4 linked regions of the Caenorhabditis elegans genome follow. The protein of the gene in region 3 interacts with the protein of the main gene of each other region in a pairwise test. Each region holds a gene or a part of one and is shown on either strand. Other genes may lie near its edges. The genes, in order: dim-1, atrn-1, gst-23 and zig-12.

Region 1 (7,045 bases), on a different chromosome or scaffold from region 3:
ACTTTTGGAATGAAAGTCATAAATTTCAAGATTCAAGAGAGAGCTGGTATAAAATTTTTTAATACAACAGGAACAATCCGTATCATTTGTGTTTGTTGATGTTATTAAACAAAGTTCCGCATTATTATGGCAAAAATTGATAAAAAATGTTTGTGCACATCAACATTAAAAAAGGTTACTAATGTTTCCACATGAAGAGTCTCTGGAAAAATGAACAAGTTGTAATTTCACCGTAAAAGTAGTTCTGGAAGAACATGTTTGAAGAAAACCAAAAATTGACAATACCAAATAACATTCTATGTATGCAGGGTTGTCTGAAATAATTATTTTATATTAATTTCAAAGGAACACTATATGATAATATCTGGAATAGGGGAAGCAATTAACATAGTCATAATAAAACATAGTTAAACAATTCCTACAAATTTAATAGTCTAATTATGTTTAAAATACTCATATTCAAACATTACAGTGATTTGAGCATTCTGCAGTGCTATAATTTTGTTTTCAATAAGCTGCAAAAATGCAGTAATTGCAACATTTGATTGTCAACAAAAAACTATTCAAAACTTTCAAATAAGTGTTACTATGATATTTAATCATTTTTGCACCATAAAAATGTTTTTTTAAGCAATTTACCCTATGGCGCTACTCCACTATTAAAATCAGTTGGTGTTTCTGGATGAATGTATTTATAACTTTTATCGGCTGCTTTTTCCGATTATGTCTTCGGCTGCACTCAGTTTGTTATTACGAGCCATCTGTGCTCAAGGTCGATAAGGTCAACTTTCTCGAAAATACGTTTCCCCTGTCCTCATTGACATCTTTCCCCCTCTCGTGTCTCCTACTTTTCACCCTTTCACCAAATATCGATCAAGTCGATTTTCAACGGGTTCTCCAGGCAGGTGGCTAGTACGTACAGTTTAGAATTGAATAGTGATGTCGTTTCGTCTCGTAGTGTTGAACTCTGGCGTTGTCTAATTCTCTTCTCCGCAACGCATCTCTAGCTTGCACGGCGACGGTCACCCACGATGCTGGGTCGCAAAAGACCTCTGGTCACCCTTCCCGTTACCGCCGATGGTGATCTAATAGTTATCGAAAAAATGAAAGTATTGGATTTTTAGGTATTGTTGCTAGCACAACTGTATTTGTCGATATTGTTGTTTTTTAATTCTCAATTGGGAGCAACAAAATTTTTTACAAAGTATACTCATGTTTCAATATCGGTTCTTGAGTGATTGGTGATAATTAAATCTCATTTAGAAATTCTGATTGAATTTTTTTCCGGTATGTGATTTTTTATTAATATCCTGAAAAATCGGCGAACTTATGTTCAAATAATATAGTTTTTAGTTTAATGTCCCGGCATACTTGTTTGTTAGTTTACGTTTACCATCCAACCTTTAAGCACCTTTTCTAAGGTTTTTCTTACCCGGCGATGGTCACCCACGATGCCGGTCACCAAAGATGCCAGGTAGCAAAGGATCCCTAGTCACCCTTCCCGTTACCGTCGACGGTAATCTCATAGTTATCGAAAAATGAAAGTATTGGATGTTTTGCATGCTGGCTACCCAACTGTACTTGTCGATATATTCTAAAAGTTGTTTTCTCATTGTAATTTGAATGCAACCGATTTTATTACGACCGATTCCAATCCTTTAAATTTTTTTGAAAACTTTTAATGTCTTGTTTTATTAGAATTAGTATTTTTATTTCATTTCAAAATAAAAGCTGTTGAACATTTTTCAACATCACTATCTAATTTTCAAATTACAAGGACCGGCAAGTAAGTTAAATTTTTTTCAAATTTTGGTTAATAGCTAAGTAGCATTAAAAGTTTTAAATCGAAAATGTTTTCAGTTGTTGATAATGTTTGATTTATCTGAAAACTTTACTTTAATGCACAGAAGTAGTGTTCCCATTTGCGAATTCAAATACTCCAAGTAGTTCGAATGTTATAGCTTATTTGTTTATCAGTTTATGTTTAATCCCAATTCATCAAACACATTTTTGTGCGTTTTTTTTTACACGGCGACGGTCGCCCACGATGTCGGTCATCCTCGATGCCGGTCACCCACAATTCCAGGTTGCAAAAGACCCCTAGTCACCCTTCCCGTTACCGCCGACAATGATCTCATAGTTATCGAAAAGAAAGAAAATATCGGATTTTAGGCCTAACACCACATGTGTACACGCCGATATCATTTAGTTTTTTTGTGGTCAGTTTTATCACGAAGGTGCTTCAAAAATTGATCAATTCATAATTATGATAACCTTCAATTTATGACTTTTATGAAATTAGTTGGTTTTGATTACAGAGATGAGAAAATGGTTTTTCAATGAAAGTTCTCACTTAACAATATACATTCTAAAACTATGCCAATTGTTCAAACCAAAACAAAATTGCAAGTCAGTTAAACTTGACTTTAATTATTGACAACAATTAGGTAGATTTCAAAAAGCCAAATCAAATTATTGTTTCATTATTTCAATGGTTAAAAAAACTCGCCTTAAAAGTTTTGTTTTGTCTGAAAACCACAAAGTCATCTGTTCCCGTTTACCTACAATACTTACTTACTTACTAAACTTTTCATTCACTTTTTGTTTATTTAACTTTTTGTGTATCAGTTTTTGTTTACTTTCCGTCCATCAAGCTTTTTTTTCCTCACTCATCCTTTATTTCAATTCTCGTCCTTTTTTCTATAATTAACAACACAAATCTTAATTTTTTCAGTTTAACTCCATAAGAATGGCATCGTTAGCACCATTCTTTAAAATTTCCGACTCCATCTTGGTAAGTGTCAAAACTTTTGTAAAATTTCAACGTTTCGATGCAATATTTGCTATTCTAATAACTTGGTGTTTTCACTTAACACAAGTCTTTACACTTTTAATAAGAACCGATAATCACAGTGAGATGTGCAGTGTTACCACTTATTGAGTAGTATCCTTGTGCAAACACCCCCACGACATATTGCGTACATTCCCGATTCAGAAATTTCTGGCTTATAAGGAAGCAATAACTCTAATTAATTTTAAAAAAAAAGAATAAAACGCTAAATATTATATATACTCAGGCTGATGAAAGTTTCGACGATCTGGAAATCAATAATCATTTTAAATGCACTAGCAAAGGTAAGTAAAGTGTTTTTGTCAATTATCTTATAATTTTTCAACTTCAGATCTAAATGAATACCCAAGAACTTCAACCCCATTGCCTGGAGAGATAACATCAATTTACAGCTTACCCAGATCATATAGTAGGTGTTAATGGATACGATTTGTATTTTTTTAAAGACAAAATTCAAATATGATAAAATTAACTTTTCAGATAATCAAAACCTTTGTACAAGAAGTAAACCAACAACATTCATTTCACAAAATCGTATGTTCGATTACGTTAAAAAATGTTTCTATTATTCATTTTTTCAGAACAAAAAGGAATGACGGAAAAACCGAAGCATTCTGAATATTTTTTAAGACTGATGAAAACACGCCAAGAAATGCAGAAAAAATTAACTGCGAAAAATGGTTCAAACAAAAGTGTGCAGCAATATTTGAGAAAGTTACCGCCCAGTACGAGCAAAGAAGTGACGATAATACCAGTGAAAATGAAACCTGATGACAATTCAGTTTATATTTCTAAAGAATTAAGTGACAGGACTGACACAAAACTACCGAAAGTTTCAACAAAAGAGGTAGAAAAATTTGGAGAGCAGTCAGATGATGAAGAGAGGCATGAGAGGTCTCATATCGCATCGGATTTTAATCAGAAGACCCCGCAATCAACGCATGCAACGAGTAACCATAGGAAGAGAATTTTCATAGGGAGGACAGGTGCTAAGCAACAGCATGTTAGTAAAAAAGCCACAGAGAGTGAATTACCTTATAATATCGACGTGTCAACCTCCAACACGACAAATGCAACCGAGGCTCTCAAACTGTTAAAAAGGCCACTTCTGTTACCAGTGAGTTTTAAAACTTACAAATTTAACTAACAGTTAGTTTAGTGACATAAAAATTAATAAAAGTTAGTGAAAAAGTAAAACATGACCGACTTTCTATGAATTTCAAACATAATATTTCCAACTAAAACCAAGAAGAACCAATAAACTGTAAAATAAAATAAAATGTAAAGTTTTTACTAAACATAACGATTTAACAAAAAAATAAAAATAAAACTTCAGTTGTTATATGTTTTCAAGATAATTTTTGAAAGAGTTCTTATTGTTGGAAAATTATTAGTAACTTTCCTTATAGAGAACATTTCATATTTAAAAACCAATAAAACATTCAAATCGTCACTGAAACATAAATTGGCAAAAAAGTAGGCAATTTCTATTTGAATTAACACCCATCAGCCAGTTTTTTTTTCAAATTTTTTCACCGTGTTTTACACAGCTTTGCATGAAATTTTTAAAGCTAAAATGTATAATCTTGTATTTTCTCAACAGTTTCTCTTAAACAGATCATGTTTCATATCAAAGTTTTACACAGCAAAAACTGCAAAAAATGAAAACATGAAAACGTACAAAAGTGTTCAAAACTATTCCAAAATATTAATTTCCCAAAAAATAATGGCTTGTAATTTTCAGAGTAAGGATCCACGATCGTCAAAAATGCCCCGTTTAGATCTCAATCAACATCAATTCCGCTGCAAACAGTACATAGTCCATTCACAATTTACATGTACTCAAATTGAGAAAACATTTAAGTGCAGAGTTGGAACATCGACAGAGAGTGAAGACCTTGATGATTACTATTTTGATGGTGAGTACTTATTTGTTCTTGTGTCAGTTATCAATAAGCGAAGAAATAAACAAAAACAGTATTGGAAATTAAATCGAATGGTCTGCACACTGTGTCAACCACAGCGCCTCCATGATCTTAGAAACAAACAAATGAGCAAGAGATTACCGTGCGCTCTTTTCCCGACAAACATAGAAATATAGTACTTGATAGAAAAGAAATAGGGAAAAGAGGAGGGCAAAAAGCAACAAGTTGTGAAGAATAGTCAACAATATTGGTCGGGAGGGAGGTTTCTGCTTGTACGTATATATTTATTGAAGTGACGCCGACTGACGACGCAGGATTTGCTTTCATACAATTTTTTTTGGGGGGAAACACGATAAAAATGTCCCGTCGTTTTTATGCATCAATGCATCATTCTTCGGAAGTTACTATTATACATACAATCACTTTCTTAGGGTTTTTTTCTTTATTTTCCAGTGAATGCTCAAATTGTATATTTTCTAGTATGATTTTAATAGAAGAAAGTTTTCATTGAAAATAAGACAAATAGATAGGTCAAATAATATATAATAAATTGAGTGGTATAGCATTCTATTTTTTCGAATCAAAAACTCAAATCTTAAACGAATAATTTTTTCCATCCAAACTGAGCTACGATTTTGACACTTTCTGAATATTTTCAAAAATTTACAAGCCTAGTCGTATATTTTGAAATTAAATAATTAAACCTTGAGAGGTTGGCAATTTTAACATTTCCGAATTTTGACATTGCCGAACATCTCTGCAATGAATGTTTGGGGGTTCTATGTATTCTTGTCGTAACTATTTGTTTTCTTTGCACTCGTTCGCTTTGACCAGACCACTTTTCTTTTATGCTATGAACTCATTACGCAGAGATCTCGCACAACAATTTGTTACTTGCACTGTTCATCTTGTCCTTTTTACTCTTTTTTCCTTCCGTTTACTTTTTCATATTGCACACAATGAGACTGTGCTGATGGCTGCTTCAAAATTTCTGGGACTGTGCTTCACATTCTTGTGTACTCTTTCGCTCACCACCAGTTTTTTGCACTGTTCTCTAGAGTGAAAAAGGAAAATTGAACAGTTACATTGTGTTCGGTTTCAGTCAATTTTTTTGTTGTACAATTAGCGTCGCTAGAAAAAGTGTTTTTTTTGCTACTCTACTGTTCTTGTCTCATGCTATTTTGTAGAGTTTAAATTTATTTTTAAAAAATGAATGTCAATTAAAATGTGAGAACTGGTAGAATCAAATATATACGTTTCATTTCTCGCGTAAAAAATTAAGAAAGTAGTCTTCTAACCTTCCATCTAGGCTATAAATCTCATTTATCTCTAGTTCCACTTGGCCACCAACTCCTCCGCAAGCAAATGATGATGATAGGGACCATTCGTAAAAGCCGCAGAAGCCCGAACAGTCAACTCGAACAGTTGTGGGGTCTTAGCGTGTGTGTTAGCAGGGAAATTTCTTTTTCCAAAGCGTATGAGGAGGTCCCGCTCGGTCGGTTAAATGAGCAAATATCTTCGCGACATATGCCAACGCGATTCGTATTACGTTTATCTGCTCGTCTAACACGAAGGCGAAATTGATGAAACGTGGGTGGGAAATGGAAACTAAGGAGAACTTCGGGGGGACGTGTGAAGCCGATAATGATGAGATCATACACTATTTGTCGTCTGCATATTGATCTATGTAGGACATGTACTCAACGATTTTATCTATTTCTCGGAACTTTTTTTTTTTAATTTTGAAGTGTTTTTGCGAAATTGTTTGTCTCTGCCGATTATTTTGAGAACAAATCGGCGTAGTTGTAAGAAAGATATAAATCAACCTGGTAAGAATTCTACCAATAACTAAAACTATTTAACTTCATCATGTACATTTCATTTGCCAAACAAAATTCTTTAAGCTATTTGCTCAATTTTCTTTTTTCATATCCCGCTTTTTATGATATCATCAATGTTCATTCAAAAAAAATCACACAACCACTCAAAAATACAAAAGGCTGTCTCAAGTATACACATACTTCTGCAGCTTTTCCTTTCCTCTAGGAGTATTTTTTGTGATATGATCACATTGAGTTTAGATCGGATTCGAGAATGATATTGAATGAATCGTGGCGCCAGGTAACTGAAATTTTATTTGTCAATGAGAAAGCGAGAGTTCCTTTTCTTCCACTATCCACCTACTCTATGGGGGTGCGAGCCTTTGTTTGTCAACTTGAGCTATTAAAAAAAGATACTGTTGAGATAAGTGCCGATTTCGATTTTCAAT
Region 2 (10,060 bases), on a different chromosome or scaffold from region 3:
GATTCCCGAGTTTTTCAAAATTTGGTGTGTTAGGCGGGATTCGAAATGTCTATAAGACTGATTTATTCCAAAAAATATAGTTAATCATTTTTGGCTATGGAGAGAAGCAGCCTGTGAAAACAGGAAAAAATTGTATTTTTTTTTTGTAAACAACCACCTATATTTTCAAAATTTTAAAACATAAAACACAATTCGAATTTCAAAAGAAAAGTTTCAAAAAATATATATGCTTTAAAAAAATGAAAATATCTTAGCCACGGTTTTAGCCACACAATTTCCAAAGTTAACTGTAAAAAAATTATTTTTGTCAATTTTACAAGTGAATCATTTCTATTCAAACATTGTAAATGTTCCAACGTGCAGCAATTTCCTTAACTTTACAAAAAAAAACCAGCAAAAAAGTTGACTGCATTATGTTTCATATTGTCTCCAATTGATCTATTTTGTAAGTTCATATCTCTGTAAGTCTTGATCAAAGTATCTGATCTTTAACTACGTTATATAATAGACACTGTCATTGAAATATGCCAAATTTAAGATATTCCATATCAATTGACTGTAAAAATTGCAAAATATCCTATAAAAAGTAAAAGACAAAAAAGGTAAAAAAAAAAGTGAAACAATTTTTGAACTTCCTGGTGCGTCATTTAAAAGGAAATTTCGAATGATAAGAAATTGAGATATTTCTTCTCATTCCTTCTCCCCCGATCAATGTTCTATCACTTCATATTCCATCCAAATTTACAAATGCAATTGCGGAAAGAAAGTAGAAAAGTAGGAACTTTGAGAGAGATGAATAACCTTGAGAACTAGATTACATGCGTTGCAAAACGTAAGATCATTGAGAAACTAAGAATTAACGCTGATTTTTCTGTTCTTTCTGTTCCGTTTCCACCCAAAAAAAGCCGCCTGTTTGCTTACTATGCTCATAGTTTGAATCGAAAAACGACTGCCAAAACTTGATTTCCGCTCTTTCGAACATTTTTTGAACAGACTATTTGCAGAGGCATTGTGCAGAAATAGCGGAAGCTATTTCAGTTTGTGTTAAGTTTGGAGGGACCTCGAAATGTTTCCTTGTAGCAATACTGTTTTGGTCAGTGCCAGCAGCTTTTTTTTTGGAATGCCTTACAATAATTTTGCATTTTAACAGGGCGTTTCTCGATTAGGTATCAACTGATAAAATTCAATACAACATCATTTTCACATTAATATTTAGCTATTGATTTTAAAAACGCCCTCAATAAAGAATTTTTTGGGTGATAGTGGTGGTTTTTACTTTGTAAGAATAGTGATAATACAAACATTTTTCGGTCTGCTAATTTCAGATTTTTTAGTCTATAGATGAAATACTTTTTACGAAACGAAAAAATAAATAAAACAAAATTGGATTGTTTTTTAAAAATGCTCGGAAACATTACACCAGTATCTTTTTTCAAAACATGGGTTTTAAAAAAGGTTATTATTTTTACTTCTTTCCAGTTTTTTTTTGAATGCCTAATTCATTCTCAAAATCACAAAAAAAATTACCTGCCTACTTCTTTAAAATTATAATTTCGAACACTCCATTTACATATAAATTGACAATGTTTCTTGGTCACTTTCCAAAATATTTTTCGATATTTTTATTTTATTTCTAATGCCTTGTTTTCATTGGTTGATAATAACTATAATATACCATGTTTTTTCTAGAAAAAAAATCACAGTTACAAAACAGGACGCAAAATGTGAGCGAAAAGTATTGTCAGATTTCAAACACTTTAGTATTAAATTATTTTTCACTCCAATTTTTTCCCAATGTGAAAATTATAAGTTTGTGATACTACTGAAATACTGACACGTAGAAAAAAACAAGCCGTTACTTATTTCAGTGACTGATTAAAATTATAGTTGCTAACCATAAATCTTTTTTGATTTTAATCATTTTTGGGGACTCAGTTGCTCTCCACTATTTTCCCGGTTATTTTCAATGAATAATTTCATAAATGGTTTGAATTTATTTTCACATTGACCAAAGCTATGTACTTTGATTTAATTTAAAAAAAAAAGAAATTTACAGCTTCTTAGAATGTGACGATCAAAAACCACCCGCCTCACACCCAACATTTGTGACCTATTAAAAGCTGAAGAAACTGCGTTGGTTAAAAAAAAAGAACCGCTCGAATTAAACCAAAAGCGAAGACACACTGACTCATTTCGCGAACGTTTAAAAGCAAATTGGTGTTGTCTACCTAGTTTACCCACCTAACGTCGCTTCTCTCTGCGTTCTCTTCTTGCGGCACACTCCTTCTCCGCATCTCTTCGCGCAAGCGTACTATCGATCGATTCATTCTGTTCGCAGTGCCTCTTTTCATTCATTATTGTCGTCATCATCATCGCCTTTTTCTTCCTCTACGACGACGTGTCTTCTTCCAAATTAGTCATGCTTATAGTGTTGTTCCTTTTTCTCTACTGCGACAATTTTTGCTTATTTTCGACAAGTTTATTCTAATGAAACCTTTTTTACAGACCGATGTGCACGTGATGATTTCAGCAAGGGAAGTATTCCCATGCTTTATATTTCGAGTTTTCCTCCTTTTTCAAGTATTCTCCCGAGTTCACACACTAACAAATCATGCAAATTTTGAATTCGAAAAGGTAGGTTGAAACTTTAAAAAAAATGCGGAGTAGTTAATTTTCTTGACTCAAAATTGACAAAAAAGACTGAATTTCATCGTGAATCTATTTGAAATTCCTCAAAAACAATTATCAACTTCTCCGTGTTGCAATGACCAGAAATGTTTTTGTTTCTATTTCGCATACTTTTGCAGGGTTTATAACCATTTTTTGTGAATTTCGGTACATTTTTAATCAATATTTACACAAAAGTAATCAAATATGTATGTAAATGTATCGCCTAAAAACGTACTTCATGCACTAAATAAACATCTGAAAAGTGTCCAACAAAATATAAATTACGGCCGCAGCTTCAGTTAACTTCAAAAATGATAAAAAATTTTTTGAAAAAATCAAGAAAAATCATTACAAAATTTGGTCTTTTTGAGCCATTTTCTGACTTTGAAAGAGCAATTGGAAAAATTTGAAGCCTTTCAAAATTCGAAAAACTAGTGGTGTTGATTTTGTTTATTATCAAAAAAATGTTGATAACATTTTCCAAAATATTCCCTCAGGGACTTTTAGCGATAACATCTCAAAGCTTAACAAATTCCCACAACCAAAAATTTTCAGTCATTATCATCATGCGATAAACCATGTTACAACGGCGTCTGCTTGAACAAGGCCTGTGTTTGTTCGAAAGGATGGTACGGTTCACAGTGCGATCACTGTTTTGGGCGGATACGGTGAGCAACATTTAAGCTTTATTTCAAACAAAAAACGAAAGAAAAAAAAACGTTGAATTTCTTTAGAATATCTGACAACGCGAGCTACATTTCGGATGGACCTCTGGATTATAGCCCTTCAGCAAAATGCACATGGCTCATTGAACCGGAAAATGTATGTGTTGATGATAGATTGATGTTCTATAACATTTAAATTTTGCAGAGCGCTACTCCACTCAAAATTCGGATAAACAGCTTTTTCACCGAGTGCGGCTGGGATTATTTGTATATTTACGATGGTGATAGTGTTTATGGAAAGCAGCTTGCCGCACTATGGTTGGTTTTGAAATTTTAAAATTTTATGTGAAAATGAAATATTTCAGCGGAGAACAACCATCACAAGAGTTCACTGCGGCTTCTGGTAAAGCACTGGTGCACTTTTTCAGTGACTTAGCCATTAATTTAAACGGGTTCAATGTTTCATACGAGTCAAATCGGTGAGTTTTCGACATATTTATTGAAGTTGAGATTGTTGAAGTTTTTAAACGTGAATTTGCAGCTGTGCGTATAACTGTTCAAACCATGGAAGCTGCCTGAATGGAAAGTGTGATTGCGAAGATGGATACAAAGGTCTCAACTGTGAGTATCAAGTCTGCCAACTCAGCGGAAAATCCACGGAAAGTCCGTGTCATGAAGGTCAATGTGTTGATGGAAGATGTGAATGTCTCTCGGCAAGGGTTCATGGAGAAACCTGTCAAATGCCAGTGTCTTCATCGGTGTGGGACCTGATTCACCCGACTAACAATGCACCAACCGGAAAAGCTTCCCACGCGTCAATCGCTATCGATGATGTTGTTTGGAGCATCGGTGGAGAGTTTTTCGATGGAAGCTCTGATCCGAATAACATTGACGTGTACAACGTGACAAGTCGGATTTGGAGTAAGGTGGAGGTGTCCGGAGATATGCCGAAACCTCGCTTTGATCACACAGTTGTCAAGTATAAGGTTTGTACATTCTATTTCGAGACTTCTCTACCAATTTTTTTGAATTCAGAACAAGCTGTACATGTTCGGAGGAGTTACAAAAACCCAAGTCCGTCACCAAACGACACAAGCCGCAACAAACGAGCTTTGGATCTTTGACATGGGCTCTAAAAAATGGGCTCAACAGATTCACAAGAATGAGACAATTATTGCTGCGCCATTCGCAGTTGCAGGTCACTCAGCTCATGTGATTAGATCCGAGATGTTTGTGATATTTGGCTATAACCCACTGTTTGGCTTTATGCATCACGTGCAGATTTATAATTTTGGTAAGGAAACAAAAAAAGAAGTCGGAAAAAACAAAAAAAATGCTTTCAGAAACCGAAGAATGGACGGTGGCCAACACAAGCGATCATGTTTACGGAAGGTTTAAACATTCCGCAGTGGAATACACAACACCAACAGTAAGTTTTTTAGAGTCCTACTAATTTGAGTTAATTAACTGAGTTTGGTTTTAAAAAATGCGATGTCGTAGTGACGTCATTGAAGGTATTTAAAAACAGGGTTAGATGTTTTTTTTTTGATTTTTAACAATTGTGAACCCCCAATATTTTTGCCAAAACTGACAGCCGATACCTCGCTAGTGCTACACATATTTTAACAAATTTTGATGACAGCATAATGTCGGCTGCTTGTTGAATTATTACTAGACGTAAGACAGTTTTACGAGGATAACTTAGATTTTGTACATAATTCAAAACTTTTAGTAAAACAATTCCAATACCATTCGGAAAATCATTTCATTTCAGGGAGCCACTGCAATTCTGGTTTATGGTGGTAGCATGTGGAACAACACCATCACCGACAGCTTGATGCAATTTGACACATCTACCAAGAAATGGTCGAATCTTCCACAGTCTGGAGTTCAACTATATCTTCATGCTGCTGCATACCTTAATGGCTTGATGGTAGTCGTTGGAGGTCGAGGATCGAATGTGACGGCGGGAAGTAAAAGCGAATGCTTTTCAAATATGGTGCAATCCTATGACGTTGGTGAGTCAATTGAGTGATGCAATTTTTAAGCCGTCTACTTTTAATTTTTCAGCTTGTAAGCAATGGTCCAACATGTCAACTGCTCCAGTGGATTTGAAAAGATTTGGCCATTCTGTTCATGTTATCGGCCAGAAGCTTTATGCTCTTGGTGGTTTCAACGGAAAAATGAAGAGCGACGTTTGGACATTGAGTCCAGGTACTTTTAACTTAAAGCAACTCAAGTGTTCAAGTTTATTATTTTAGCAAAATGCTCATCAGCTACAAGACCTGATGAATGTCGTCTAATCACCGATGGCACAAAATGCGTTTTCGTCGACAGTTCCTGCGTTCCATTTGACCCAACAGTCTCCTACAAATCATCGTTCGCCTCAATGATTAAATCATCGACACCTAAATCTTTTGATGAATGCACAAATACACCATTAAGGTAAAAATTGAAAAAAAAAACATCGAATTTCAACTTGCAAGCTTTACATTTTCAGACTCGCTCTGAAAACGTGTGAAGAGCAAACGGATTGTGTCTCTTGCGCCTCTAAATCCGGATGCGGATGGTGCTCCTCAGGAGAGCAATGTCTTCCAAATGAGCAAGAGTGTGTGGATGGACCGGTGAGAAAAATTTTCGGTTGACTAGTAAATTATGCGATCGTTTCAGGGCATGCTAACATCCTGGGAGAAGTGCCCGCAAAGAAATAGTGTTGCAACAATGCGTCCATGCAATATGGAGAACAACTGTGGTAGCTGTAGAATCTCACCACACTGCACTTGGTACCCAATTGATAAAGCATCGCCTTGTGTGAGCAAGGAGGATTTGAGTATGTTTTTTGTATGATATACACGAGGAATAAACTAGAGAACTGAGAGCTTACAAAATGAGGCCAAGCACAATTTTATGAAAACTTTATATATACTTTGATAAAAACCGGAGAAACATTTTTGAGAAAAGTTTGACAGAACGAACATGTTTCTATGTATTATATAGTGCATGAAATAATCACCTGCCAGAAACAAGTGAGTTTTACACTCAAAATAAAAAAAACTGCAAGGCGTGTACTGCAGAAAACCTAATATTTAGGCCCCGCCTTTTTTCTTGTCCACTCACGGAGAAAAGGCAAAAATCGGGATCCCAACCAATATCAGGCCGCCGACATGTCACGGGTTCCGCGCGCCGCTGCGTTTAACTCGCTGTGGGCGTGGCGAGCTGTCTCCGCCCGCTGCGAGTTAAACATAGCGGCGTGCGGAACCCGTGAGATGTCGGCGGCCTGATATTGGTTGGGTTCAGATTTTTGCCTTCCACTCCCGTGAGTGGACGAGAAAAAGTACACGCCACACAATGTTTTTATTTTGAGTTTTTTTTTTTGAATTAACTAAAAAACACTGTTTAATTTGGTATTTTTCAATAAATAGGACAGTTATTGATTTGAAAAAAAACCGCCCAACACTTGGAATCACAAACTTTTAACAATTCAATTTTATTTTCAGTTGCCGTCGTCTACGAATATGAGACCAAGTCAGTTCTTGCTGATCGCAACAAGTTTCTCTCACCTTCGCATTTCCCATCTTTCTTCCGTAACGCTACCGAATGCCCAATGCCTTGTGCTCAGCGGAACAACTGCAGCGATTGCACCGATCTTGAGCAGTGCATGTGGTGTCCGAGCACGAATAGATGCATCAACTTGGAAGCATACACGCTGTCATTCGCTTATGGACAATGCCACTCGTGGGTTACATCTGGCTCAGGAAGTGTTATCAATCGAGTTTGTCAAGCTGGTGAGTAACCTCTTTGAAGCGTTTGCATTCCGATTTTTATTCGGCGTTTCAGAGTCAGTTGTTTGCGAAGAGCACAAGACTTGCGGAGAATGCCAGAGAGATCCAGGATGTGGATGGCTTGCAGACGACTCCAAGACTGGTCTCGGACTTTGCATCCGTGGTACATCAACTGGCCCGTTAGAGCCAAAACCAGAAAACAGTACCTGGTATTTTATAGACTGCCCTGGTAAGTTTTGATAACATTGGTTAATTGATTTCATTAAAACCCAACTTTTCAGCGTGCCAATGCAACGGACACTCTACGTGCTTCACTTCTGTTGGTTCCTTCCCTCCGGTCACAATTGAAAAATGCCAAAGTTGTCAAAACCACACCACCGGTGCTCACTGTGAGCGATGTGCTCCAGGTTTTTACGGCGACGCCAGAAACGGAGGAGTTTGTTCACGTAAGAACATTGAATCAAAATTTCAACAATGATCAATTATAATTATTATTTCTAGCATGCGATTGCCATCATCAAGCTGATATGTGTGACCCAGTGTCTGGCCAATGCTTCTGCAAAACTAAAGGAGTCACTGGAGACCGCTGTGATAAATGTGAAGCGAAATATGTGGGCAATCCGAGAAATGGAACACCATGTTTCTGTAAGTTGTTTTATGGTTTAATGAAATTCAAGTTCAAATTTCAGATGAGCTAGCCGTAGACTTCATATTCACCTTCAAGTTGAGAAGCGACGATAAGGATAATCACACGAGTGAAATTTACCTATACAGTGTTCCATATAAGGTACATCTTAACTTGTCATGTTTATTTGATAAATTATAATTTTGTTCTTTTCAGAAAGACACTGACGTCACATTCCAAATCAGCTGTGAATCTCCAAAGGGTAACGCACTTGTTGCTTTGAACATGACCTCGTCTTATGTGAACGGGCTCGCGGATAAGTCTCAAGCCATGATGGTGGATACAATTTGTGACTCGAAAGGATTCCGACGTGTCTATGTGGCATCAGATAAGGGATATCCATTTGGTCCAGATTCGAACACTACCTTTTTCGTAAGTTAATTGCAATACCATTAAGAAGTTTACACATTTATGTTGTTCAGGTTCGAGTATACAACTTCAACACGCCAGTTCAAATTGTTGTCAGTTTTGCACAATCACCGCCGATCAACTGGGTCCTGTTTTTCGTGATATTTGCAGCGTAAGCTTTGAAAACTATTTTAAATGGTTTCCTAGAAAACGAAATTCCAGATGCTTCATTGTCCTTCTAGTCGTTGCCGGTCTGCTGTGGATGATCAAAGTTAGGATAGAAGCTTATCGCAGGAATCAGCGGCGGATAGATGAAATTGAGCATGTAAGCTTTTACAAAAAAATGAAAACTGAAAAAAATAGAAGTTTTTTTTGGAACCCATTTCTCAACTATGTTCAAGTTAGTAATAATATTATCAAAATATTAAAAGTATCACATCAAATTTGAATCCAGCCAATCCCGAGTAAGAATCCCTCTCAAGTTCGCATGCCGAAAATTGGCTCGAATTGAGAGATGAAAAATTCGGGAGATGCTGGAATCAAATAATACTCCGTCCACTTTTGCCGGACAACGCAAAAATGAAAAGAGTGGGTAATACCTAGGGGCCGACAACCCACGGCTTCCGCGTCTCGGTATATAGTTATAAATATCATTAGCATGCCCCGCCCATTCAGTTGGTGTGTATTTAGAAGGGCGTGGCATGCTAGCGTTACTTATAACAAGACGCGGAAGCCGTGGGTTGTCGGCCGCCAGGTATCACCCACTCTTTTCAACTTTTGCGTTGTCCGGCAAAAGTAGATGGTGTCTTATTTGATTCCAGCATCTCCCGAATTTTTCATCTCTCGATTCGAGCCAATTTTTAGCATGCGACATTGGGAGGAAATCTTTCGCGGGGTTGTCTGGATTCAAATTTGACGTGACACGTTTAATATTTTTTTGTAATATGTCAACAAGATTTTGAACTGTTTTTACTTAACTTTTTCATATTCCAGATGGCATCCCGTCCTTTTGCATCGACAAAAATGGAGCTCAGCATGCTAAGCCAATTCTCATCGGCCGGAGGTCCAACACCTCTATCCATCGAACCGTGTAGCAACTACCGTGCCGGAGTCTTCACCCTGGCCGTACGCCTCCCCACCGGAGGCAAAGCAGTAACACCTAGTGGAACATCTGGATTAGCAGTTGCTTCATCGTTGTGCCTTCTCACTCCCCAACAGGTCGGTGTGCTCCAAGCACAAGACAACGGGGAGAGCAATAGTGGGCGGAAAAGTAATTTCCGAAATTTGTTAAGGTTGACGATACGACAACGTCCCAACAATAATGATTAAGTGTTTCAAATTTCTTATTTTTAAGTTTTTGTTTATGAATCCACTCACTTTCCATGCCCTAACCTCATTTTCCCTGTTTTTTTGTCATTTTCCATTTTTTCTTGTGTATTTTTTTCTCTCATTCACTTTCAAACTGTCGATCAATCAAATACTTGCATATGAAAATTACGAGTTGTCATTTTTAACACTTTGTATTTTATAAGAAACAGATCAATAAATATTTTTCCTAATGCTCTATCTTTTTGGAAATTGAGATAAAGAAGTGGGATTATTTCATGGAGCTTGTATTGATTTAGCTGCGCTTTTACTTAAGTCGGAACAGTAACAAACGCAGATTTAGGGGTGGGCGGCAATTGCCGTTTGGTAAATTGATTTGTCGACAAATTCGACAAGTTGGCCAATGGGTTGCCGGTTTGCCGATTTGCCGGAAATTTTCATTTTCCGTAAAATGCCGATATGCCGTTTGCCGGATATCAGATTTCCCGAAAATGTTTAGAGGAATTTTCTATAAGACAAAAACACTTAAAACTGTGTCTTTTTGAATTTTTTCCGTTTTTCTACATATTTTCATAGAATTTTCT
Region 3 (5,857 bases):
TACACGGCTCTGCGCTTTTTTGATATAAATTTCTGAAATTTCCAGCAATCCATTCCCAACTCAACCCATTCCGTTATTCGCTGGCGAAACGTCTTTTGCACATTCAACGTCACATTCATAATGGTTGTTCAGTACGGAATTATGATATTCTGTGGATATCAGCTGTATAACGAGATGGAGGAGAAACTGAGCATGCTGTCAAAACAGATGAGAAGACTTCATCGACAAATATTCAAGACTCTCATGTTACAGGTAACTTTATTAGAAAATTATAAGAAATCTAGGTATTTAAACTATTAAATCAGATAACCACGCCAACAATTGTCCTGTTCTCTCCCATCGTTTTTGTGATCTACCTTCCGTGGCTCGATTTGGAGCTCAGTGTTCCCACAGGAGTCTTCTTGTCTGGATTCACATTGTATCCAGCGCTTGATGCATTCATCCTGATGTACGTCGTCACAGACTATCGGCGAGCGTTCAAAAGTGAGTGAAAATGGAAAAATTTGTCTAGAAAATATTTTCAGCTGCGTTCCAAATCTACAAACCATCCGGAGCGTCGTCACAGCAATAATTCGTTCAAAAACAAAAGATTGCAGTTTTGTTACGTGATGTGGAATGTGCTCTGAATCATTTGTAGATGTAGTCAGAAAAAAGTAAAACAGAGATTTCTGAACTATTTTGTGCCGAAAGATTTCACGCTTCTAAAATTTACTTGTAGTTTTTAATAAACTTATTTGTAAGAAAATCAGAATGTTTTCCGAACTGCTGTTTGAAAAATTTTGTTCTAATGACGTCCCACAAGAATGATTTCTCAGCACAGCGTTTTGGCAGAAAAGGAAAGTTTGAGGTTCGTACATCGATGTCTGCGCCAGTATTGGTAGGCCTACCTTTGAAGAAACTCATGCCTGTCTCCGGCCGTCTGCAAAAAATTCCATAAACAAGTTAGCAATACAAAACCCAGAAGATGTCGGGTGCTGCGGAACCTAGAAAATGTCGGGTATTGCCTAACCCAAGTAATGTCGGGCCTAGCTGAACCCATGAAGTGCCGGGCGCTGGTGAGCCCAGAAATAATTTCAAATTTTCAGACAATTTGGCGGCAAGCAGGTCTATGTGTACCTGAGCCTGCCTACTAGTTTGCCTGTCGGCCTATCGAAAATTCCAAACTTGTTTGAATTAAAATTTTGAAGCCCGAGTATTGTAAAAAAAAGTAACCATATTGGGGAAACTTTTAAAAAGTTAAATAAGTACGATACTTTTGCTCTCACGACAAACACATCAGCAGGTTGACTCATTAGGCTTTTTTGTATTTTCATCTTGATTCTGGTCTTCCAAGCGTTTTACCAATCCTACATTATTACTCATTTAGACTTTTTGAACCAATCTAAGTCCCGAGCACATTACCTAAATGATTGTTAATCCTATTGCATATCTGCGTAGGGCTCGAAAACAAATACAATTAGTATTCCTTCACACTTTTTCTGATTCAGATACAATCTGCTTTATAAATTATTAACACAATCTGAATATTCACAATTTCAGAAAGAAATTCAGACGGACTATGTATATCCACTGGTCTCACCATTACCTTCCAAAATTGTTTGGAATTTTGTCATTCGTGTGTAATCCAATTTTCATTTGCTTGATAGCCACCGAAAAGAAGGCTTCGATCGGGAAGTATCGATATCTTTTGATAGGGTTTGCAATTTTTGATATGGCTTACTCAACTGTAGAGCTAATCGTTCCCGTAGCAATTCATGGTACTGGGGCAGCTTTTGTGATTTACCTAGCTGACGGACCATTTTTTGGGGTGAGTTTGAAAGCTCTACACACCAAATGATTGAACTTCAGACTGGGAAGCTTGGCCAACTAGCTGTCTCAATTCGATGTGGGTGTATTTCTCTTTCATATGGAATCCTTGTCATTCACTTTATCTATCGGTATCTTGTGCTATTTAAGTGAGTTTTATTTTTATTTTTCACGTAAATCCGAAAATTTAAAAATTATAGCACCCGAATAATCGATCGACTTCTCCGGCCGTCCGGGCTATTTGGTCTCTTTGTATTTTTTGTTTTTCACGGAATAGCTTGGAGTTCTGTCTGCGAGATGTGTCTCTATGGAGATCAAGAAGTGTTCGACTACATCTATGACGCTTTTCAAAAAGATTACCATGTGGATTCACATGATTTATCCATGCTAATGGCATTGTTTTTCGTGAGGCTCGAAAAGAGCAAAGAACCAACACTAACCCCTTAAAATTTTAGGATGCAAGTCCCGAGATCAAAAGAAGAAGCTGGATTGGAATTCTGCTGCTGACTGGAATTTCGATATATGCAATTTCTCTATACGTTATTCTTGGATGGAAGATTATGAAAAAGCTGGCGGATAATCCAGGGGTTTCTGCAACGACTCAGAAATTGCATAGACAGTTATTCAAAGCCCTTGCAGTTCAGGTATACATGTTTTTAAAGAGTTCAGAAAAAAATTGTTTAACTAAACATTTTCAGACTTTCATCCCGATCTGCATCAGCTTCTCCCCTTGCATGATGGCCTGGTACGGTCCTGTAATCGGATTGGATCTCGGAATGTGGAACAATTATTTGGGCGTCATTGCACTGTCAGCGTTCCCTGTTCTAGATCCACTTGCTATCATTTTCCTCCTACCCAACTACCGGAACAAGCTTTTTCGCACTGTGAAAATGCCAATCAAATACTTTTATTCTGGAACATCGACTGTCCGACCCAACGTGGATAATTCAGCTCAAGTTTATTGAAAGTTTGAGGAAAAGTGTTGTCCAAGTTGTTATAAAATTTCTTATTTTTTTCCATAAATATTTTTCGCAACGTTCTTTTTTAATCAATGTGAAAGAGTTTTATTTGCATTTCTCGAAATACATGTTTGCTTTATAGATTTTTTCAATAGCCTGCGGACATTTTCAACGTGTCCCTCTTTTCTTACCAAGTTTGCAGACAGCTTACACTTTCTTCGTTTTTTTTTGGTTTTTAAAAACAAATTATTCTCAATTTAGTACTGTAACTTTTTGAACAACTTAGCACTTTTATAACAATGTCGTTAAGTTTGAGTTGGGATGATAGTTCTAGAAAATTATTTTGTCAAGTTTGGAGAATTCTTGTCGATGGGATTATTTTTGATCAATTACAGGAAAAAACCGTATAGAAATTTAAAATCAACACATAAACCTTACTAATTTACAGTTCACAATCGCGTCACACCCCTAACCCGATTATATTTTCGGTTTTTATTGCCGAAAATACAACAACACATGTATGAATTCGTATAGTTGCCCTCTATTATAATATTTTTGCATTTATGTTTTCCCAAATTCTCAAAAGTTTTATTTTTTCAAATTTACCGGAATCATAAAATTTACGTTTTTCTAATTTGGTTTTTCTAATTTATAGACCACTTCGATGACACTCAAGCTCACATACTTTGACATTCGTGGGCTCGCGGAGCCCATTCGGCTCTTGCTCAATGACCAGGAAATCCCATTTGAAGATAACCGTATCAGCCGAGAAGAGTGGGCCGAAATGAAGTCAACCATGGTGATTCATAATTTTTGAAACTATAAAAGTAGAATTTTCCAGATTTTCGCTCAATTGCCGTGTCTTCATATCGGAACTGAAACGATTGTCCAGTCAGCAGCGATTCTTCGTCATCTTGGACGGATTTATGGTGAGCAATCAGAAAATTTACAGTTTTGAAATAAAAAATTCATTCGAATTGATGAAAAAGAAAAAGCCTGTCAAATTGCTTATTAATTGTTTTGATAAATGTTTTGTTTTGAAAAAATCGTTTTTTTTGAGTGAAAATTTTTTTGATTTTCTCAAAATAAAAATTTTCAAAAAAACTTGCAGAATGTATACATCCGAAATCGTATAAAAATTATCTAAAAGTAGTCTTTTGGAGCAATTCTAAACGTCGTCAAATTAGTCAATAAATTGTTTTAAACTTTTGGCTTTATAGTTAGCTCTTCTAGGCTGACTTAATGCGTTTTTGATTACAATTTTTTTTTGATCTCAAAATATCAGTTGGAGAAAATAACGAAAAATATATTAACAATTGTTTTCCCGGCTGTTGAGTTAACATTTTGCAAATCTTATTTAAAATTCAATACAAAAAGAAAAAAAAACAACATCTAAAATTTCTCAGGACTCAATGGCTCCACTGAATCAGAGACCTCATTCATCGATATGTTCTCCGAAGGGCTCCGCGATCTACGCACCAAATATTTCACAATGATCAAGACAGACTACGAAGATGGCAAAGAAGCATACATAACTGAAACTCTTCCCGGGGAGCTACTACGAATTGAGAAGTTGTTCTGCACATTTAACAACGGCGAAAACTTTGTGTCCGGGGACAAGCTGAGCTATGCAGATTATGCTCTATTCGAGCTTCTCGATATTCACCTCATCCTCACACCAACTGCTCTAAATGGCACCCCAGCACTGAAAAGATTTCATGGACGATTTGCAGAGCGGCCCAATATGAGACTGTATTTGAATAAACGGGCCGAACTAAATCCATTCGTCAGTGGAAATGGGAAACAATAAAACTTTCGGATTTTTTTGTGTTAAATTAATTTTGCAATACTAATAAAACTTGTTTCAAATAACTATTGTTTCAAAAAGCAAAACTCAACTGTGAAACCATTTTCAAAAAATGAGCTATCAAAATTTCGAGTACTTAAAAATTAAATTTTTTTAAAGTTTTTTGAATTAACTTATCAAAGTCTATAGGTTTCACGATAACCTACTGCATATAAAACATTGGGTCCTGACACGAAAAACCAATGTAGTAGGAGTAAAACGTTGTTTGAAAATTAATACAGGTGCTGTTTATGAATCAGACCCTGGAGAATACAGATAACACCCACCTCAAGTCTGCTCAATGACGCTATCACACATGGAGGACTTTTTCGACCCTTTTCAGTGTGTTCCTTTGCAAAAACGGAGTTACCATAGCAGACAAATATTCAAGTCACAAAACACATAGTGCCCCAACCCCAAAGGAGTATACTATTTTACGAGAACTCGGCATTTATAAGAAAAACAAGAGGGGAAAACACTTCTACATCTCTTCATCGAGAAGATCCCATTATTTTTCAATACAACTATGATATATATGAACTGGTACCATCAAAATGTTCCCAAAATTTTGGGAGCACTAAGCTTCCTGGTGAACCCAATATTCATATATTTGGTAGTGACCAAAACTAAAACTCAAGTGGGGAGCTACAAGAATCTTTTGATAATGTTCTCGGTCTTTGACATTCTGTATTCAATATCCGAGATTTTAACTCCATTGGTAATTTACCGTAGGTGTGAATATATTTTAATGAATTTGTCTAGGGTGTACAAGGCAACAAGCATGGATTTGTGGTTTTTATATCAGACGGCTTGTTCTTTGAATATCCAGAACTTGGTCAGCACGCAATGTCGAATCGGTGTGGGTTCATTTCCATCAGTTATGCCTTATTGATCATCCATTTTGTCTATCGGTACATGGCCTTGTTTTAGTGAGTCAACTATTTAGGCCTGAAAATATTTGAACAGTGGCTATTTCAGCCCGCACAAGCTTCATCTGTTCTTCCGGCCGATTGGTATACTATTTTTAACATTGCTCATGTTGTTTCACGCTGGCTCTTGGACTATGGTGAAAGCTTCCAGAAAATAAAATAATTAAATGTAATTGCTTCAGATCTGCCAGAATTGCCTTGCGGCCGACGACGAAGTTAGGAAAATAGTGCGCTCGTCGTTCATAGATCAGTACGGAGAAGAGTCCAATGGAGTTCCAATGTTGGCAGCTCTCTATTGGGTATGTCTAAAACTAGAT
Region 4 (7,045 bases), on a different chromosome or scaffold from region 3:
AAGTTCGTTTGATCTTTTATTAATAGATTCTAGGTTCTGAATTTTACAAAACAATGCAAATGCAAAATGCAAAAAACCAGACATGGGAAAAACGATGATGGAGATTTCCCAAAATGAATTATTTATGGATGTGATAAATAAAAACTTTTGAAGAAGTGGAATATTTGGAGTATGGTTTCTAAATAATTATGATGTCATCTTGCATACTCGCAGAGTTTGCAGTGAAAAATCTAACAAAACCTCTGACAAAACCAAACTTGGTAAAGAAAACGGCTCACAGCAACAAAAAAAAACAATTCCGGAAAAGTGAGAAAAAACCCACGAAAGCTTCTATCTTCTTGTTGTGAACGCCTTCGGACCTTCAGAATACACTGATAACATTGTCTTTTTTTCGATTTAGCCTGCCTCCTTCACACTCCTTTTTCCTTTTTATTCCTTCCGGTCGCTTACTTTTCCCATGGGTAACATTGCTACTGAAACTGGTTTTGGGACTTGTTGTTTTCTTTTGCCTCTCAATATTGCAGTTGAATTCGGAATAGTTGTTTGAGGTCAAGAAGTCGGTTTTCTTTTTTTGGGTTGTGGGTTAACGCATATATCAGCGAAGTTTGAAATAGCAGTGAGGGCTTTGGTTCAAAATTAAGAAAAATTATTTTTTTTGTAAATAAATTTACAATTTTTGAAAAATTTCAATTTATTAAGATAACTCTTCAAATTGTTACATAAGTTTGGCATGCTGAGGGAAAAATATAACACTCTTTTTACCTTAAAATGTTTAACAGGTCATTTAACCGCAAAACAATAATGTCTTACTAAAGTAAATTATATATATTTTGAAATTATTTTTTACTGTGTAATCTATGTTGAACCGTTCGCCGTAAAATCAAATAATTTTCAATTCAAAACAGGCAGCCGGTTACCAATTTTTTTTTGATTTTCGGGGTTATGTCTTATTAGATTGTTTTCAACTTGATATAAAATTAGATATTAAAATTTGCACACGTAGATTGCAGATTCAAAAGCGGCATTCTCAAAGTGATAGCAAAAATGTTGTTTCAACTGAAGTAGTCTAAATTGGACTAGGTAAACTTTTGCCCGTTGGATGATTTTCAATATTATTTTGTTCTATGGTTTTATTTTGTTAGATAAACACTAGAGTTTACAAAAATTGTTGAAAAACTAAAATGATAAAGCACTATCTACTATCTGCATCACTGAATTACAGCAAAGACACGTATATACAGTGCTGGCCAAAAAGATATCCACTTTCTGTTTTTTGATGATTTCGATATTTTTTCCATTGAGCATAACTCCAAAACTAGGAAAGCTATCAAAAAAAGTTTCAACTGGTAAAATGTAGCTCGTGATCAGGCCTATGTATTTTTACATGATTAAATTATTCACCCAAAACATGGCAAGTGATAAAGCGGCCGACATCTCGTGAGTCCGCTTTTGATGATGATTACTAAAACGACTGTAACTCGAGAAACATATTTTTAATGGAAGGTTTTTAGAAAGTAACACGATGTTTATATAATTTTTTATTGTTTGAACATACTAACTTCGTCCTGAAACCTCCATTGAAAAAGACAAGAGAGTTTAAAGAAGAGAAGTGTAGAGTAATCTCGAGCTCATGTCTCAAAAATAGTAGATTTTTTTTTCTGAATTCTGTTTATTGGTTAATATGTAGTTCAAATATAATAACAACATCAGTTCTTCACAAAAATTGTCGGAAAAAGATTTTCAATCCAAGAAACCTGATTTTTGAACAAAGCCTCTAAACAGTGTCTAATGAGACACTAGTTTCAGCGCACACATTTTTTTAAATGGAGGTTTTAGGACAAAGTTGATATGTTCAAACAATGAAAAATTAAATAAACATTTTGTTACTTTCTCAAACCTTTCATTAAAAATATGTTTCTTGAGTTACAGTCGTTTTAGTAATCATCGTCAAAAACGGACTCACGAGATGCCCGCCGCTTTATTACTTGCCATGTGATGGATGAATAATTGCAACATGTAAAAATACATAGGCCTGATCACGAGCTACATTTTACCAGTTGAAAATTTTTTGGTACCTTTCCTAGTTTTGAAGTTATGCCCATTGGAAAAAATATCGAAATCGTCAAAAAACTGAAAGTGGATATCTTTTTGGCCAGCACTGTATATATATATATTGATTTCTGTACTTGCAAGTATATCTTCTCATGTTCAATGTGTCAAGAAACTTTTTTATTTTGGCTGATACCAATTCATGTGCATGGGACACAAAGTTCAAATTACTTTGAGAAGACAAATACTACAAAACGTTAAAAGTTACAGAAGAAAAAAAAGCGGAAAGTGCAACTACCAAAATCGAAAATCAGAAGCAACGATTAACATGAAAATTGATTTGAGGCTTTATGAATTGAATTGTATGACAATTAAAAACCAAGGGAAAATTTATAAAATTAATCGAAAACCAAGTTCAACGCTTGTTGGTTTTGTCCTTCGGAGTTCTTGACAACGCACTTGTATTTTGCTTCATCGTCTTTTTGTGGTCCGGTGATTTCGAGTAGGAATTGGAATCCGTCTTTGTCCTTATCGTCCTTCTTTACAACAGCCTTAACTCGGTCAGTGAATTTCACTGGTTTTTCATCCTGGAAGAATGAATTAGTGAAAAATATGAAATTTACTTTTTTTCTGTTAATTTAAAAATGATTTATACTAGACGGTCGTTCAGAAAATTTTTTCCAAAACAAGTTTGTTAATTTTATTTATCAAAGCATTCCAAAAAAACTCAAACTTGGTTCCAAGCATGCCCATTGAAATGTTCATTTTTCATTTTTCATTTTACATTTTGAACCAGACAACAAGTGAATTCTTTTAATGTTTATTGAACCTTTTTGCTTTTAGTTTTTTGCGCCATTTCTCTTTTTTGTTCACTACTCAAAACTTCGCTCTATCTGCTCCATGAGCCTCAAGTATCTGTCTCGGCACAACCCAAAGGCGCGGACGAGGAGGCCTCCCAACTTTTGTCTTATTTCCACACTTCTTTACATTACCCATCTCTGCCTTTCTATTTTGAATCCCCTTGAGAAAGCCGGAGAGGTTCACTTCGACTAACATAAATGTGGAAATTAGGACAACTACATTTTTTTCTTCGGTGGAAGAAAGAAGACAAAAGAAAAAAGACACGTCAGTCAGTCGATCCATCTTCGAGAAGCTCTATTCTGGTTCAACCAAAATGAATTTAGCAATGCCAAGAAAAATACCGAATAAGAATTCAGGGAAATTTTTTCCCCTAAGATTCAAAGTAAGGTGACAGACATACCTTGAACCATTCGGCCTTCATCTCAAGGTGGGACTTTGCGCGGACCTTAATCACAATCACATTTCCGTTATCTCTTTGAACAATATGTGGCTTGTCATGGAAGTCTGGGGCGTCTGAAATTGTATGTGTAAGCTTTTAGTGTTTTTGATAATGAGCTCACTTCCTGCTGCGACTGTGAAGTTAGAGCTGTTCTCTCCATCGGCGTTGGCAAAGACGGCTTTGTATTCTCCGGCAAGTGGTTTATCAAAGTCCTATAAAATGATGATTTAAAGAAGCAAAAAGGTGTTTTGTTAACAGTTAAAATTCATAATTCCGATTATTTTTTATCACAGGTAAAGCGGGATTGCTCAGAAGCGGCCCAATGGCAGCTGATAAAATCGTTTTTGTGTTCGGAGTTTTTTTTTAAGCTTAGAAAAACGAAATTTGCGACCGGGGCGGTCGACAATCGGCTTATTGGCTGACATGGAGACAGACCACCGGCGGACATCAGTTTTTTTTTTCAGTCTGCGGCATTTTGGACCGTTGGACAGTTTTTCAGTTGCTTTTCCGTTTTACCAGTAATGTAGCTTATGTGGTTTGTTTTTCAACTACTACTATCATTAGTAACTTTTACAATTATAGTTCCTAATGTGAAGTTCAAACTGCACGGCTTTTTTTAATGTTTACTGAATTTTCAAAATTACAGTTCACGTTATTGATGTATATTTAATGTGAGATACGAAAAAAATAAAGAATATAGTAAAGTAAAAAGTATTTTGTAATGATGAATGTACTTAGAGTTTCCTTTTGATCAAATGCTTAACCGTTGTTATGTTTTGCTTTTCACCTCCCGACCGACAGCTAATTCTGCTTTTGCCGCACTTTTGCCCAAAATCTACGGTAAGTCCATCAAAAACCAATTAAACGCAGATCAAAACACATACAGACAACAGTTGCAGAGCGCATCGCAGCAATGGGACCATAAAATGACTCGTGAGTCGTTTTATGTGATTTATACGAGATGCTTTGGCAAACAGTTGCTCTCAAACTGACCTTGATTTCGGCAACAAACTTGGTGCGGTTGCCTCCTTCGTCACTGTTTGAGAACTTCAGGAACTCGTTCTCCTCAAGCTCGTCTGGTCCGAAAAACCACTGAATCTTAGAAACATCAGCTCCAGTGACGATGACCTGGAAGAAAACTTAGCAATTTTCAAAAGGAAAAGCAAATTCGTACCTCAAGGAACACCGACCCGTTCTCTGATCTAATTTTTGGTTCTCCGTAAATTGATGGTGGTGCCATATCTGAAAAAATTAAAATCTGTAGTTTTATGATTGAATACGAAGCCATGAATATACGGAATCTCGGTAACCTAAAGTTTTACACACTAAAAGAAAAGAGGGGCGTGTTTTCTGATCAGGTAAGAGCGCCGCCAAGAGCGAATGAAAAATGATCTGCCAATGTGTTTTTACCATCATTTATCCATTGAGTTCACAGGAAAATAGGAGACGAAAGACTTCTTGAACGGTAGTTCGTAGTGGCTTTTGGGTGGGAGAACTAAGCAAACAATGTTTTATGTTCTCAATGAACAAGCACAAGTAGGGGAATGTTGGAGAAGATCTAGACAAGATGTGTCAACAGTATTTTGAGGGAAAACACTTTATAATGCTGAGAAAAAAAAGAAAAAGGCAAAAAGACCAATGGTTGAAGGTTGAAAAATGCTTCGAAAATTGAATCACTGGTTTTTTGTACATATAACAGTTGATTTTAGTCATGTTTTTTGTGCATTGAGATCAGCACTCAAGAATAAATTTAAAAAAAACAAATTTGAGAGGAGAACAAAAAATATGAAGAGGAGAAAAATGATGTCTCGCTTGTAGTTTCCAACTGACAAAAGTGCCAAGAGGTCGCTGTTAGAGTCCCATTTTCCCTTTATCTTTTTCTCTGTTTCACGAAGGTGTTGTAATTTCTACTTCTTCTGCTGCTAAGCTCTTTCTCCGCCTCCTGGTCGCTAGTCGGAGAACGAAACGACGAAAAAAGATGGGAAAGATGAATGTCCCGGGAGCCCCCCGGAGCTGCCCACAGATTTTGCGGAGGAGGAGAAAGGTGGATGGGATGGCACTTCCCACCTAACTCTTCATTTCTCGTCGACGTTGAAGATCCCAAAATTTTTACAAAGTTCTCAATGAAGAGCTGCAGGGCGAAGGCAAAGTTGACGAGACACGCTTCACAAAGGATATTTGAGAGTATTTTGAAATCGGAATCAATGAGCAATTTGGGAACGGATGGAAATGACGTCGCTGGTTGTTGTATGAGTATTAAGGATTTCAAAAGTTGTTAAATGAAAATGCCACTTTGAAACTGAGCAACTCGAAAGCAATGGATTTATAGACCTGTCACAATAGGACGATCATGATGTGCACATTTTTGCAAATCGCGGCGTGCGCATTGTGCATGGTTTCATTGATGATATCTGCATTGTACGTTCATAATGTCAATTCTTCGCGGTTCTTTATGACCACATTGCAATTCAACTATGTAGGTTTAGCATTGGGTCAAAGAACAATTTAGTTGATTGGCCTCATCTTACAATAAGCTGCATAATTTCCTATTTAGAAAGAAACCAGAGAATAAGCTACCAGACTTGGCCGAATAGAGCAATGTGGAAAACGATATAGGACACTTAAATGCCCCAGTCGCGTTAAAAATTAAAATATATTGCCTTTCTAGGTCTCAAAATGAGATGAATCCCAAAAATGGTAAAAACATAAGCTGACAATTTTTCAGTTAAAAACAAATTATTTTATAATAAACTTATATGAACCAAACTGTTTTCATTCTTACTTTTTTCTATCCAACACCTTGTAAGTTTTCCATATTGTAATTCAGCAGTGGAACTCCACATTCAATCTGAAAATCATGTATCAAAAGATCAAATATTATGTTTCAGAGAGTTCAAAGAGTAAGAGTGATATTGTATAAAGATGCCGAGAGTGTGTGTAATTTGAAACTTCGGTACGTCAGGGAATACCTTTCTCAAATTATTTTTCAAGTGTGTAATTCAAATATTTTCGCATGAAAAATATTTTGTAGGAGCAAGAGATACAAAAGATAGAGAAAAGAATCACTTTGTTGTGGTTTGCTTTATTTTTCTTTCTTCAATTTCAGATCGAAATTTTGTAGATTGCACTTTGTTTAAGTTGCTTCCAGTCACTGGGTAGAAGCCGATCTCATTTTTCCCATATCTTCAACACTTCAAAGGTACCATTGGAAAATAATTGGATGACGCACTCGTCTGAGACATCTGGATTTCTAATGGCTTACACTTTCTCATCCTTCATTTTTTGTTTCAACGTTAAACTACATCGAATTTGAGATCTGAAGCAGAAAATCATAAAAATTAATGATGGAATTTCAAATAAACTTCGAAATTTAAGTATTGTTTGTTATCTTCAATGTGAGCAAAAAATTCAATTTAAACAATTCAATTAAAAATATAATTCTTATTCAAAAAAAAACATCAGTAAATATAACAATGTAACAAAGAGAAAAATCGTTAAAAGTTTGTGAGCATAGAAACATTTTCAATCAACACGATGTGCGGTTTTCCTATCAGTACTGTCATTTTTTAACTGTTCGTGGTTGGCTGGCAACACAAATGTATACAAAACTAAATTTGATTCCTTTATTTTTCATCATTTTTTTCCGGACCTCAGTTGCTTTTCAAGATGGTATCTTGTTTTCCACACCTAATTTTC

The links.
Region 1: the proteins of gst-23 (region 3) and dim-1 interact in a two-hybrid assay, tested with the Caenorhabditis elegans proteins (one large-scale study listed by BioGRID).
Region 2: the proteins of gst-23 (region 3) and atrn-1 interact in a two-hybrid assay, tested with the Caenorhabditis elegans proteins (one large-scale study listed by BioGRID).
Region 4: the proteins of gst-23 (region 3) and zig-12 interact in a two-hybrid assay, tested with the Caenorhabditis elegans proteins (one large-scale study listed by BioGRID).

What each region holds. Positions count from the first base shown.
Region 1 is NC_003284.9:8,053,917-8,060,961, reverse strand, and holds the start of dim-1 (Disorganized muscle protein 1), read left to right. Parts: upstream 1-2,741; 5' UTR 2,742-2,749; coding exon 2,750-2,794; intron 2,795-3,077; coding exon 3,078-3,135; intron 3,136-3,182; coding exon 3,183-3,260; intron 3,261-3,331; coding exon 3,332-3,385; intron 3,386-3,432; coding exon 3,433-3,968; intron 3,969-4,595; coding exon 4,596-4,770; intron 4,771-6,253; exon of another isoform or gene 6,254-6,389; intron 6,390-7,045.
Region 2 is NC_003284.9:14,709,074-14,719,133, forward strand, and holds atrn-1 (CUB domain-containing protein), read left to right. Parts: upstream 1-2,505; 5' UTR 2,506-2,520; coding exon 2,521-2,634; intron 2,635-3,225; coding exon 3,226-3,338; intron 3,339-3,404; coding exon 3,405-3,492; intron 3,493-3,540; coding exon 3,541-3,653; intron 3,654-3,700; coding exon 3,701-3,814; intron 3,815-3,876; coding exon 3,877-4,321; intron 4,322-4,370; coding exon 4,371-4,629; intron 4,630-4,678; coding exon 4,679-4,764; intron 4,765-5,109; coding exon 5,110-5,353; intron 5,354-5,405; coding exon 5,406-5,549; intron 5,550-5,596; coding exon 5,597-5,780; intron 5,781-5,835; coding exon 5,836-5,959; intron 5,960-6,005; coding exon 6,006-6,165; intron 6,166-6,832; coding exon 6,833-7,120; intron 7,121-7,172; coding exon 7,173-7,346; intron 7,347-7,398; coding exon 7,399-7,563; intron 7,564-7,618; coding exon 7,619-7,762; intron 7,763-7,806; coding exon 7,807-7,904; intron 7,905-7,958; coding exon 7,959-8,174; intron 8,175-8,224; and 11 more.
Region 3 is NC_003283.11:3,239,866-3,245,722, forward strand, and holds gst-23 (Glutathione S-transferase), read left to right. Parts: upstream 1-3,418; 5' UTR 3,419-3,429; coding exon 3,430-3,564; intron 3,565-3,606; coding exon 3,607-3,694; intron 3,695-4,171; coding exon 4,172-4,575; 3' UTR 4,576-4,637; downstream 4,638-5,857. Other genes in the region: str-16 (Seven TM Receptor), read left to right, coding at 46-252, 306-483, 525-571; srj-11 (Serpentine Receptor, class J), read left to right, coding at 1,559-1,807, 1,849-1,955, 2,007-2,211, 2,262-2,450, 2,505-2,771; srj-7 (Serpentine Receptor, class J), read left to right, coding at 5,138-5,329, 5,374-5,540, 5,590-5,677, 5,723-5,839.
Region 4 is NC_003284.9:8,761,453-8,768,497, reverse strand, and holds zig-12 (Ig-like domain-containing protein), read right to left. Parts: upstream 4,592-7,045; 5' UTR 4,590-4,591; coding exon 4,524-4,589; intron 4,478-4,523; coding exon 4,343-4,477; intron 3,562-4,342; coding exon 3,471-3,561; intron 3,424-3,470; coding exon 3,311-3,423; intron 3,166-3,310; exon of another isoform or gene 3,020-3,165; intron 2,637-3,019; coding exon 2,448-2,636; 3' UTR 2,218-2,447; downstream 1-2,217. Other genes in the region: M02D8.5 (CUB_2 domain-containing protein), read left to right, coding at 6,946-7,045.